Ovis aries: one gene and its partner. The protein of the gene in region 2 purifies or fractionates together with the protein of the main gene of each other region. This does not show direct contact. Links are inferred from orthologs where the notes say so. Each region holds a gene or a part of one and is shown on either strand. Other genes may lie near its edges.

Region 1 (4,951 bases), on a different chromosome or scaffold from region 2:
CAGGGCAAGTACTTTTCACCTGCACACTCAACTCTATGCACATATGTACACCCGAATCTATTTATTCCAGGTGGCTGAGCACAGCTCTTGGAAAGCAGAAAAGATTTCCTTAACATTTACTAAATGAATGGATAAGAAACTATCAGAAATCAAGTTTTGTTTTCTTTTAATGGTGCAAATCTTTAATCCCTTACATCAGACTGAACTGAATAAATGGTAAGTAGAACATTAAAACAGTAAAAAAGCAAAAAATTAAACGACCATCTAAAGAGGGAATACGTGAAAAAATAAATGTGTACTCTGACCTCTGTTTCTCACAATAGCAAAATAAAGGTCTTTTATTTTAACTAAGATTCAATAAATAAAGCACTTTTTAATAATGAGGAAAGGTTCTTAAGAGAATTTAGTTATGAAAATATATATTTAAAAATAAGGCCTAAGTTTAGTATTTGACAGGTTTTAGAAAGTCAGAATATAAGAATGTATCTTATACCATGTTTGCTGGAGTTTTGATCCAAAGATGTGTTCACAGAAATGCTGTCCACTGTAGTCCACTTCCTCAGTCTTGACTGTGGCTCTTTAATACTGTTCATATCCATATTTACATTCAAGTTTGAGTTCAAGCCTAAAAATAGATGAAAATTTTTAAAAACCACTTTATAAAAATATAGCGCATCCTCCTTCTGGTACCACAACTTTCATTTTCTAGAAAAACATATGCAGTTAATCTAGTGTTTTCAATCCTGTCTAATGTTCCTTAATAAATATCCTGCAAATGTGGCACAGCCAAATGATTATAGACAAAGGCAAGGCAGGCAGGACAGATACTCTGGGCTCCTGGCCAAGGTCACGCAGAAACGTCGTCAGAAGAAAAAGCCTAGCTAGGGTACCAGAGAAAGTAATACACAGAAATTCTAAAGAGCTAGCTAACACTCAATAATATAAAATTTTAAACCTAAAGAAATTCTGAAGAGCTAGGTAATACTCCATAATATACATTTTTAAACCACAAAACTGTCAGTACTATACTTGCATTAACTGTGGAAAACTAAATTCTCAGGCAGCCAAGTAATTGTTTAGCTACTAAAATATATCTCTTTAGAAATTTCCCAACAGTACCATGCATGAAGAATTACAAATGATCATGTTCATTTGCTAACTTTTGCTTATAAACAACAATTTTCAACTGCCTTACCCACCAAAGGATACTGTTATTTAAAAGTAAAACTGTCCTGCTGTAAGGGCAGGACTGTACCTAAGGGCAAGACGCTTATATCGCAAGGCGCAACTTGATTTGCTTGTCACACATATCGGCCTTAGATATTCTCTTGGAACAAAGACGGAAATTTCTATCTTAGTCACTGACCATTAAGCCAGTGTTTCTTGAAGTGTGATCCTGGGGACCATCATCTACAGAATATCTGAGATGCTCGTTAAAAATGAAAACTTTCCAATTCCCTGCTTCTACTGCAGAGGGCACAGGTTTAATCCCTAGTTTGGGAACTAAGATACCACAAGTCATGCAGTGAGTCAAAAAAAAAAAAAAAAGAATTGATGACAGATGTTTTCTTTAGCTGAAATATGCACAGGGTAAGAAATTAAAAGCATATAAATGGGCATACAATGAAAAGTAAGTCAAGATGAGTTCTTAAAAAGTATGTGAGGTTCTATTACTTCTCTGCTTAAATCTTTCCAGTGCTGAAATCCACACTAACATTCCATATGCCATCAAAAAAAAAAAAAAAGGAAATAAATTTTAAAAAAGAAAGAAAACTTTTCAGCAAGAGCCAGAATCTTTGTTTAATATATCCAAATGGTTCTTTAAAGTTTCAAAATAAATGGTTTTTAGATACTGGGTCTGGTGGAGAGTCCATGTGATACTAGGTCAAACTTAAAACTTTAATAATATAAATTCGCTAATATCACCCCTATTTGGAAAAAGTAATTAAATTTACTGCCCTCTGGACTCAGTAGGCGGAAAGCTTTTCAGGTGAAGGTTTAGACAGTAAATCTCTTAGACTCAGTGGGTCACACGGTCTGAGTGTCTTTATGCAACTCTGTTGTAGCACAAAAGCAGCTAAGAAATACATTAACAAAAGGGCATGGCTGTGTTCCAATAAAATTTTATTTACAAAATCAGGCAGCTAGACAAATTTGACTGATGGACTGTAGTTTGCCAGTGCCTGAGTTAGACAACCACACTGGTGCTTGCCTGAGTTAAAGCAGGCTTCCTAATCAGGGGAAAGTCTCTTGCTCTGAGGCTGGCCAGGATAGAAAGTGCTTATTTAGAAACTTATCTCCTCAGTGGCCCAATCTATATGCTCAGTATGTAATCACACAGTGAGAGTCACTTCCTTTCACTAGTGAGACCAAAACCTCTCAATGTACACCCGAGTATTCTTTCATCACCATACTGCTGTCTCTGGGAGGACATGGCCTCTATGGTATTCGCCAAACAGACAAAGGAATGTAAAAAGATTGCTGCTGCTGCTGCTAAATCACTTCAGTGGTGTCCGACTCTGTGCAACGCCATAGACGGCAGCCCACCAGGGATTGCCAGGTAAGAACACTGGAGTGGGTTGCCATTTCCTTCTCCAATGCATGAAAGTGAAAAGGGAAAGTGAAGTCGGTCAGTCATGTCTGACTCAGCGACCCCATGGACAGCAGCCTACCAGGCTCCTCCGTCCATGGGATTTTCCAGGCAAGAGTACTGGAGTGGGGTGCCATTAGTTCCATCGATGTCCTAGCTGAGTCCATAACGAAACCAGGGAGAGCTGAGTTATGTATCAGGTCCAGCCAACATGAAATGGGAGCAGGGATAACAGCAGGCCCAACCTCCGCCCACAGCCCAGAACATGCTAGTTAACTGAACATCTTCAACAAAGTTGGGCTAGTAACCAAAGAAGCTGGTTTACAAAAGAGAAAGAAATAGGAAAACAAACAGGGTGCGAATGATCAAAGGTCAAAAGATATTCAAAGGCACAAGAAGAAAAGGGACCTAAGGAAGAAGACAAATAAACCTGAAATTCCCAGAGGGAACGAAAAACCTGGAGACATAAGAGAGGGGTTGGGGGGAAGCAAATGTAAATGCAATAAAAGCAATTTCTTCTCTCATCCCTGTTACATTTATGCCAGTAATTTACTGTAAACGTTTACACAATAGTTAAAATCTCAGAGGTGACTGTTCCAAGTTATTTCTACAAAGCAGCAAAGCTCAAAATTTCTCGGGTGTGCTATAATAATTTCAGTCCTCCCCTCCCCTTCATACCCTATAATGAAGATATCTGAGTCTTAAAAAGAAATATACGTAATGTTAACTCATTTCAAACGAGCATCTGACTCTCTCTGACCCCATGGACTGCAGCCCACCAGGCTCCTCTGTCCGTGGGATTCCCCAGGCAAGAATACCGAAGTGGGCTGCCATTTCCTTCTCCAGGGGATCTTCCTGACCCAGGGATCGAACCACGTCTCTTGCATCTCCTGCACTGGCAGGTGGATTCTTACCACTGCACCAACGGGGCATGGGCTTCGTGGAATGTGTAATTTTCTTGAACAGAGAGAGACGTTCCTGAAGTAAGGAGAGAGGCTAATGCTAGAAGAAGTGTGGCCACTCAGAGATGGAGCAGCTAAAGAACCACGTGGCGCTCACGAGAGAAAAACTGGACAGGTCAGAAAGCAAGAGCTCAACTTGTGATCACCAAGCACCAGCCCAATGCTTTGGCCAAGGAGAAACCCACCTATAGGGAAGTTGCTGAAAGCATTTATTGGTGACGGCCCTTTTTGCAGCTCAGGTGTAGTGTGGGGCATGACATTTTCGAGGAAAGACTTCATGGCTGGCTGATGGAGTGACTGCTGCTGAGATGGCGGAGTTTGCTGCTTCACCAACAGGTTTGGATCAAGCTGACGAGACTGTTGCATCATCTGCTGCTGCACACTAAGAGGTCGACCCTTAAAAAGACAAAACGATTGGGGAAAATTGGGGAGATAAGTCTTTACGGATATCTTCGAGCCCCCCTTCATTTTTGAATTCAGTTCCTCCTCATCAGGAAGGTGAAGAATCACTGTCCACCAGTTAATAAGACTTCCAGGCAGACAGAAGACTTAATAGTGTTTTCCATTACATTTTAATAAAGGCATTTCAACTGCCTTGTCACAATGGAATTGATCTAAGTTGAGTGTGAGCAAAGCAAGGGGAAGGACCACATCTACCTGCTGGTCTTGCTGCTGCCGGTTCCCAGAAGGCACGCTTCTCTGACTCTGCGCCCTTTGCTGCTGCGCTAACAATCGCTGGAAGGAAAAGTGCAAACAGGTCGTCAGCATCACATCATCACAGACAAGCGTGCTGCAGAGTGACTGCGGCAGAGGGACCTACAAAGGCATGGCTCCATCGAGTTGATGCATCACGCCCTGCCTCATCCAGTGCCATCTCTTGTTTGGACTCGCTGGCCTCCAGCCATTCTGGTGAATTCAGTCCTTGGCTCAATCCAAACTTCCACTTCATCAGGTAAACGTTTCCCAATCATCCTACTCTCACGGCCACTCCAGACTTGGCTGGGCTTGCTCACACCACATCCTGCCCTTCCAGTTTACCATCTGCCTTCACTTAAGAGACTAGAAGCTCCCTGAGGGCCACGACTCTGCCCACTCTGCCTACTGAAAAACACTTTCTGCGCAGACTCTAGTGTGGAGTTCACAGTAGACAATGAGCGTACGCTGAGTAAGGCTGTGATTCTATTCCACTTACCTGTAACTGGGAGATCTGAGAAAGCTGGTTTAGTTGGGATAGCTGGTTCAGCATGGCTACCTGCTGAGGGCCAAAGAGCGGATTCAGGCCACCGTTGTTTGGTGCATACTTCAGCAATGAAACTGGAACCTGAGGATCACAATGGTGAGTTAACTATGTTGATAAAAGAAACTCAAGCTCGCAATACACAAAACACAGTAGAGAGTC
Region 2 (4,951 bases):
ATTATGCTATGTGAAATAGCCAGACGTAAAATGACAAACATTGTATGATTCCTCTTACATGAGGTACCTAGAAAAAATTCATAAAGACTGGAAGTAGAAGAGTGGTTACCAGAGTGGATAGTGGTCATGGTTGCATAACAATATGAATATATTTAATGCCACTGAATTGTACACTTAAAATAGTAAATTTTATGTTCTATATTATTTAACCACAATAAAAAAATTTTTTTAAGTATGATAGATAGGTGTAAATGTACAGAGATGGAAAGATCGCCCAGATATATTGTTAAGTGAAAAATGAAAAAATAAATCACAGAACAATACGCAAACAAATAATAATATATATAAACATGCAGAAATGGGCTTCCCTGGTGGCTCGGTGGTAAAGAATCCACCTGCAATGCAGGAAACACAGGTCTGATCCCTGGCCGGGACTATCCCCTGGAGAAGGAAATGGCAACCTACTCCAGTATTCTTGCCTGGGAAATCCCACGGACAGAGGAGCCTGGCGGGCTACAGCCCTTGCGGTAGCAAAAGAGTGAGACACCTCTTAGCGACTAAACAACAACAACAAACATGTATAAATAGCTAACGCACATAAAAATACCCGAAAGGACACATACTGGACTATGACAGTAGTTTCCTTTGAAAATGAAAATGGGATTGAGGATGCGAGCAGGTGGGGAAGCAGGAAACCATAACATTTCCAGATTGTCTGAATAAGTTTATAACGAGTATATAATTATGTATTGCTTTTAAATTTTAAGAGCAAATGTCTTAAAAGTTTATGTGGTATTATAAATATTTTCATAAGTGAGTGTTACACAATATTTTACAAGTAATAAAAATTCTACTGTTCAGATTCAGGTGGCACTTTCACACTGTGAGAAAGTTGGAACATGTGTAAAGATGAAATTAGTTCAGTTCAGTCACTCAGTCGTGTCTGACTCTTTGCGACCCCACGGACTGCAGCACGCCAGGCTTTCCTGTCCATTAGCAGTTCCAGGAGCTTATTCAAACTCATGTCCATCAAGTCGGTGATGCCATCCAACCATCTCCTTCTGTCGTCCCCTTCTCCTCCCACCTTCAATCTTTCCCAGCATCAGGGTCTTTTCAAATGAGTCGGTTCTTCGCATCAGGTGGCCAAAGTATTGGAGTTTCACCTTCAACATCAGTCTTTCCAATGAATACCCAGGACTGATTTCCTTTAGGATGGACTGGTTGGATCTCCTTGCAGTCCAAGGGACTCTCAAGAGTCTTCTCCAAGACCACAGTTCAAAACCATCAATTCTTCGGCACTCAGATTTCTTTATAGTCCAACTCTCACATCCATACATGACTACTGGAAAATCCATAGCTTTGACTAGATGGACCTTTGTCGGCAAAGTTATGTCTCTGCTTTTTAATACGCTGTCTAGGTTGGTCATAATGTTTCTTCCAAGGAGTAAGCATCTTTTAATTTCATGGCTGCAGTCACCATCTGCAGTGATTTTGGAGCCCCCCCTACCCGCCCCACCTCAACGCCGCCCAAAAAAACACAAAGTCTGTCATTGTTTCCATTGTTTCCCCATCTATTTGCCATAGAGTGATGGGACCGGATGCCATGATCTTCGTTTTCTGAATGTTGAACTTTAAGCCAACTTTTTCACTCTCCTCTTTCACTTTCATCAAGAGGCTCTTTAGTTCTTCTTCGCTTTCTGCCATAAGGGTGGTGTCATCTGCAAATCTGAGGTTATTGATATTTCTCCCAGCAATCTTGATTCCAGCTTGTGCTTCTTCCAGCCCAGCGTTTCTCATGATGTACTCTGCATATAAGTTAAATAAGTAGGGTGACAATATACAGCCTTGACATACTCCTTTCCCGATTTGGAACCAGTCTGTTATTCTATGTCTAGGTTCTAACTGTTGCTTCTTGACCTGTATACAGATTTTTCAGGAGGCAGGTCAGGTGGTCTGGTATTCCCATCTCTTGAAGAATTTTCCACAGTTTATGGAAATAATCAACCTAAATTCTAACAGTCAATTATTGATTAATTTAAAAACAAGAGAATATGTACAGAATAACAAATCTATCATCACCATGAGAAATAGCTTTAAGAATTGAATTATCATTAGAAAGGGAAACATCTTTGCCCTATGTAATTACTACTAAATGACCTAAGTTTAATAAATGTTTCTTGCTGTTAACACTTACCCTATCCCGTCCAATTGGCAGTGGATGTGCTGTGTACATGTTTCTTTTGCCATCATAGCCAGGCTGCCGATCACCAAATATTTGCATCTTGAAGTGCCGCACCATTGTATCTACTACCTCCCTTAACAGTAATGGAGACAGTGGAGGTTAGCTCTGAGAAATGGTGGTGAACAGGAAACTGTCACTATAACTTAATTATCTAAATTCAGGTCAAAACTTCTTGGAGGACCTCCCTGGTAGTCCAGCAGTTAAGACTTCCTGGAGAAGTCTTGAGACTTGGGTTCCTGGAGAACCCAACCCAGAGGGTATGGGTTCGATTCCTAGTTGGGGAGCTAAGATGCCAGCAATACTGTAACAAAGTCAATAAAGAGTTTAAAAATGGCTCAGAGCAAAAAAAGAAAAAGATGACCCAGGCCAGTTCTGCCTGGAATATGAGGATCAAAATTCTTTGGAAAAAGCAAGAGTTAAAGTTACAGATTCAAGTAATTCAAAGAAAACAAAACAAAACAGCAAGTGAACAAAAGCAATCACAGGATGACAACAAAAAAGGAGGGAATAAAAGGAAAGAGAAGAAAATTTGCAGCACCTTCTCAAATTCTTGCTTTCGAAAATCCTCTCTTATGATAAGTAGAACTTTATAAGAGTAGCCTATCTTAGGTATCTAAATTTGGCATGTTCATAACTGAACGATTATAAGTTTGTTATCAAATATGCATCCTTATGCAAGTACACTGGTTTTGGAAAAGAGAGTGGGCAGACATCTGAGGATCAATAAATCTAAGATGCATCATAGTCAACAGACTAAGGCAACTCCTTTGACTAATGCTAGTAATTTATTATTCTGCCCCGTTGTTGTTCAGTCACTCAGTCATGTCCGACTCTTTGCGACCCCATGACTGCAGCACACTAGGCTTCCCTGTCCTTTTCTATCTCCTGCAGCTTGCTCAAACTCATGTCCATTGAGTCGGTGATGCCATCCAACCATCTCATCCTCTGTCGTCCCCTTCTCCTCCTGCCCTCAATCATTCCCAGCATCAGGGTCTTTTCCAATGAGCTGGCTCTTTGCATCAGGTGGCCAAAGTAGTGGAGCTTCAGCTTGAGTCCTTCTAATGTCGTATTATATGCCAAACTGCTTCCAAGTAGTATAAAGAAGGGAGCATCATAAAATCTCCTCCTCGCATAAAATATCCCCATTCCATTACTAGTGTAGTTCCTTTCTTTTTAGAATGAAAGCCTTTCTCTCAACCAAACATGAACAGTGTTTTGTCATATACACCAGATCACACTGTCTGCAGGATCTAAGATGAATGCAAATGTGGGGAAACTAGAATCTACTGTTTAAGATGGATAGAATTGAATCTGTGAGACTCTGGAATGCTAAAGTCAATGAAAAATCAGGTGCTATGTCTCACCAACATTGGTGAGCCCATGTGTGTGAACTGTATCTTAAAAGTCAAAATAAATCACAATAGCTAAGGCACTGGGGCTTCCCTAGTGGCTTAGCAGTAAAGAACCCACCTGCCAATGCAAGAGACACAGGTTAGATCACTGGGATGGAGAAGATGCCCTGCAGAAGGAAATGGCAACCCTCTCCAGTATTCTCGCCTGGGACATCCCACGGACAGAGGAGCCTGGTAGGCTACAGTCTGTGTGGTCACTAAGAATCTGACACAACTTAGCAACTAAACAACAACACACAAAAAGCTAAGGCATTAACACTATCACAAATGAAATCCGTGGGAAAGTCACATGTTTTCAAACTAAGTCATGCAATTGCAAAAAACTGATGGAGAAATAGAGTTTCATACATTCCCAGTTATAAAAAGTTGACTTAAGAATAGTATATTTTCAGACTAAGAAGGCAATTTCTTATCTTACATTCTTAAAATATAACCATAAAATTTTACAGTAAGAAAACATACTTTCACCTCTATTCTCACTTAATCTTCACAACAACCTGTGAGACAAGCAGCGCAATAATTTTTCTCAAAGAGAAAAAAATAAAAATTCAGAATGGCAAGTAAGTTGCCCCTGGTCACACAAGAATTAAATGGCAGAGTTGTGCGACCTTAGACAAGTTACTTACTCTCTCACATCTATTTCTTCATTTGTAGGGTTTTACAATCATAAAACCCACCACAAAAACCATCATATTAAGTGAATAAGTACACACAGACTATTTAGAACAGTGCTTGTCATGCAATAAGCCTACTCCTTGCAGGACATTTGGTCCTGTCCAAAACATCCATGAAACATTTGGTCCACACCAAGAGGGCCTTGATATTTAGCTCTGTCTGAAACAAAAATCTGGCATGGGCTGAATATGTTCACAGACGTTTTGAACAGGACCAAATTTCAGGGACCTTTTGACATGGACCAAATATGTGATGGATGTTTTGGACGAGACTATATGGCTGCGGGACTTCCCTGGTGGTCCAGTGGCTAAGACTTAGCGTTCCCAAAGCAGGGGGCCTGGGTTCAATCCGTGATCAGGGAACTAGATTCCACGTTCACAACTAAGAGTTTGCACAACTAAGAGTGAGCCTGCTGCAATGAAGATCTCACATGCCACAATTACGACCCGGTGCAGCCAAATAAATAAATAAAAATAAGTGTTTTTTTAAAGGGGGGCTTCCCTGGTGGCTCAGTTGGTAAAGAATCTGCCTGCAATGTGGGAGACCTGGGTTCGATCCCTGGGCCAGGGAAGATCCCCTGGAGAAGGAAATGGCAACCCTCTCCAGTACCCTTGCCTGGAGA

What was found. Proteins that work in one complex are often made in the same cells at the same time.
Region 1: the proteins of AGO4 (region 2) and TNRC6A purify together in Homo sapiens (co-immunoprecipitation; 4 studies listed by BioGRID and IntAct, with this or other methods). This does not show direct contact. The link is inferred for Ovis aries from reciprocal best matches to the Homo sapiens genes AGO4 and TNRC6A.

Annotation. Positions count from the first base shown.
Region 1 is NC_056077.1:22,998,411-23,003,361, reverse strand, and holds part of TNRC6A (trinucleotide repeat-containing gene 6A protein), read right to left. Parts: intron 4,874-4,951; coding exon 4,745-4,873; intron 4,288-4,744; coding exon 4,210-4,287; intron 3,949-4,209; coding exon 3,738-3,948; intron 1,552-3,737; exon of another isoform or gene 626-1,551; coding exon 494-625; exon of another isoform or gene 1-493.
Region 2 is NC_056054.1:10,763,433-10,768,383, reverse strand, and holds part of AGO4 (protein argonaute-4), read right to left. Parts: intron 2,316-4,951; coding exon 2,195-2,315; intron 1-2,194.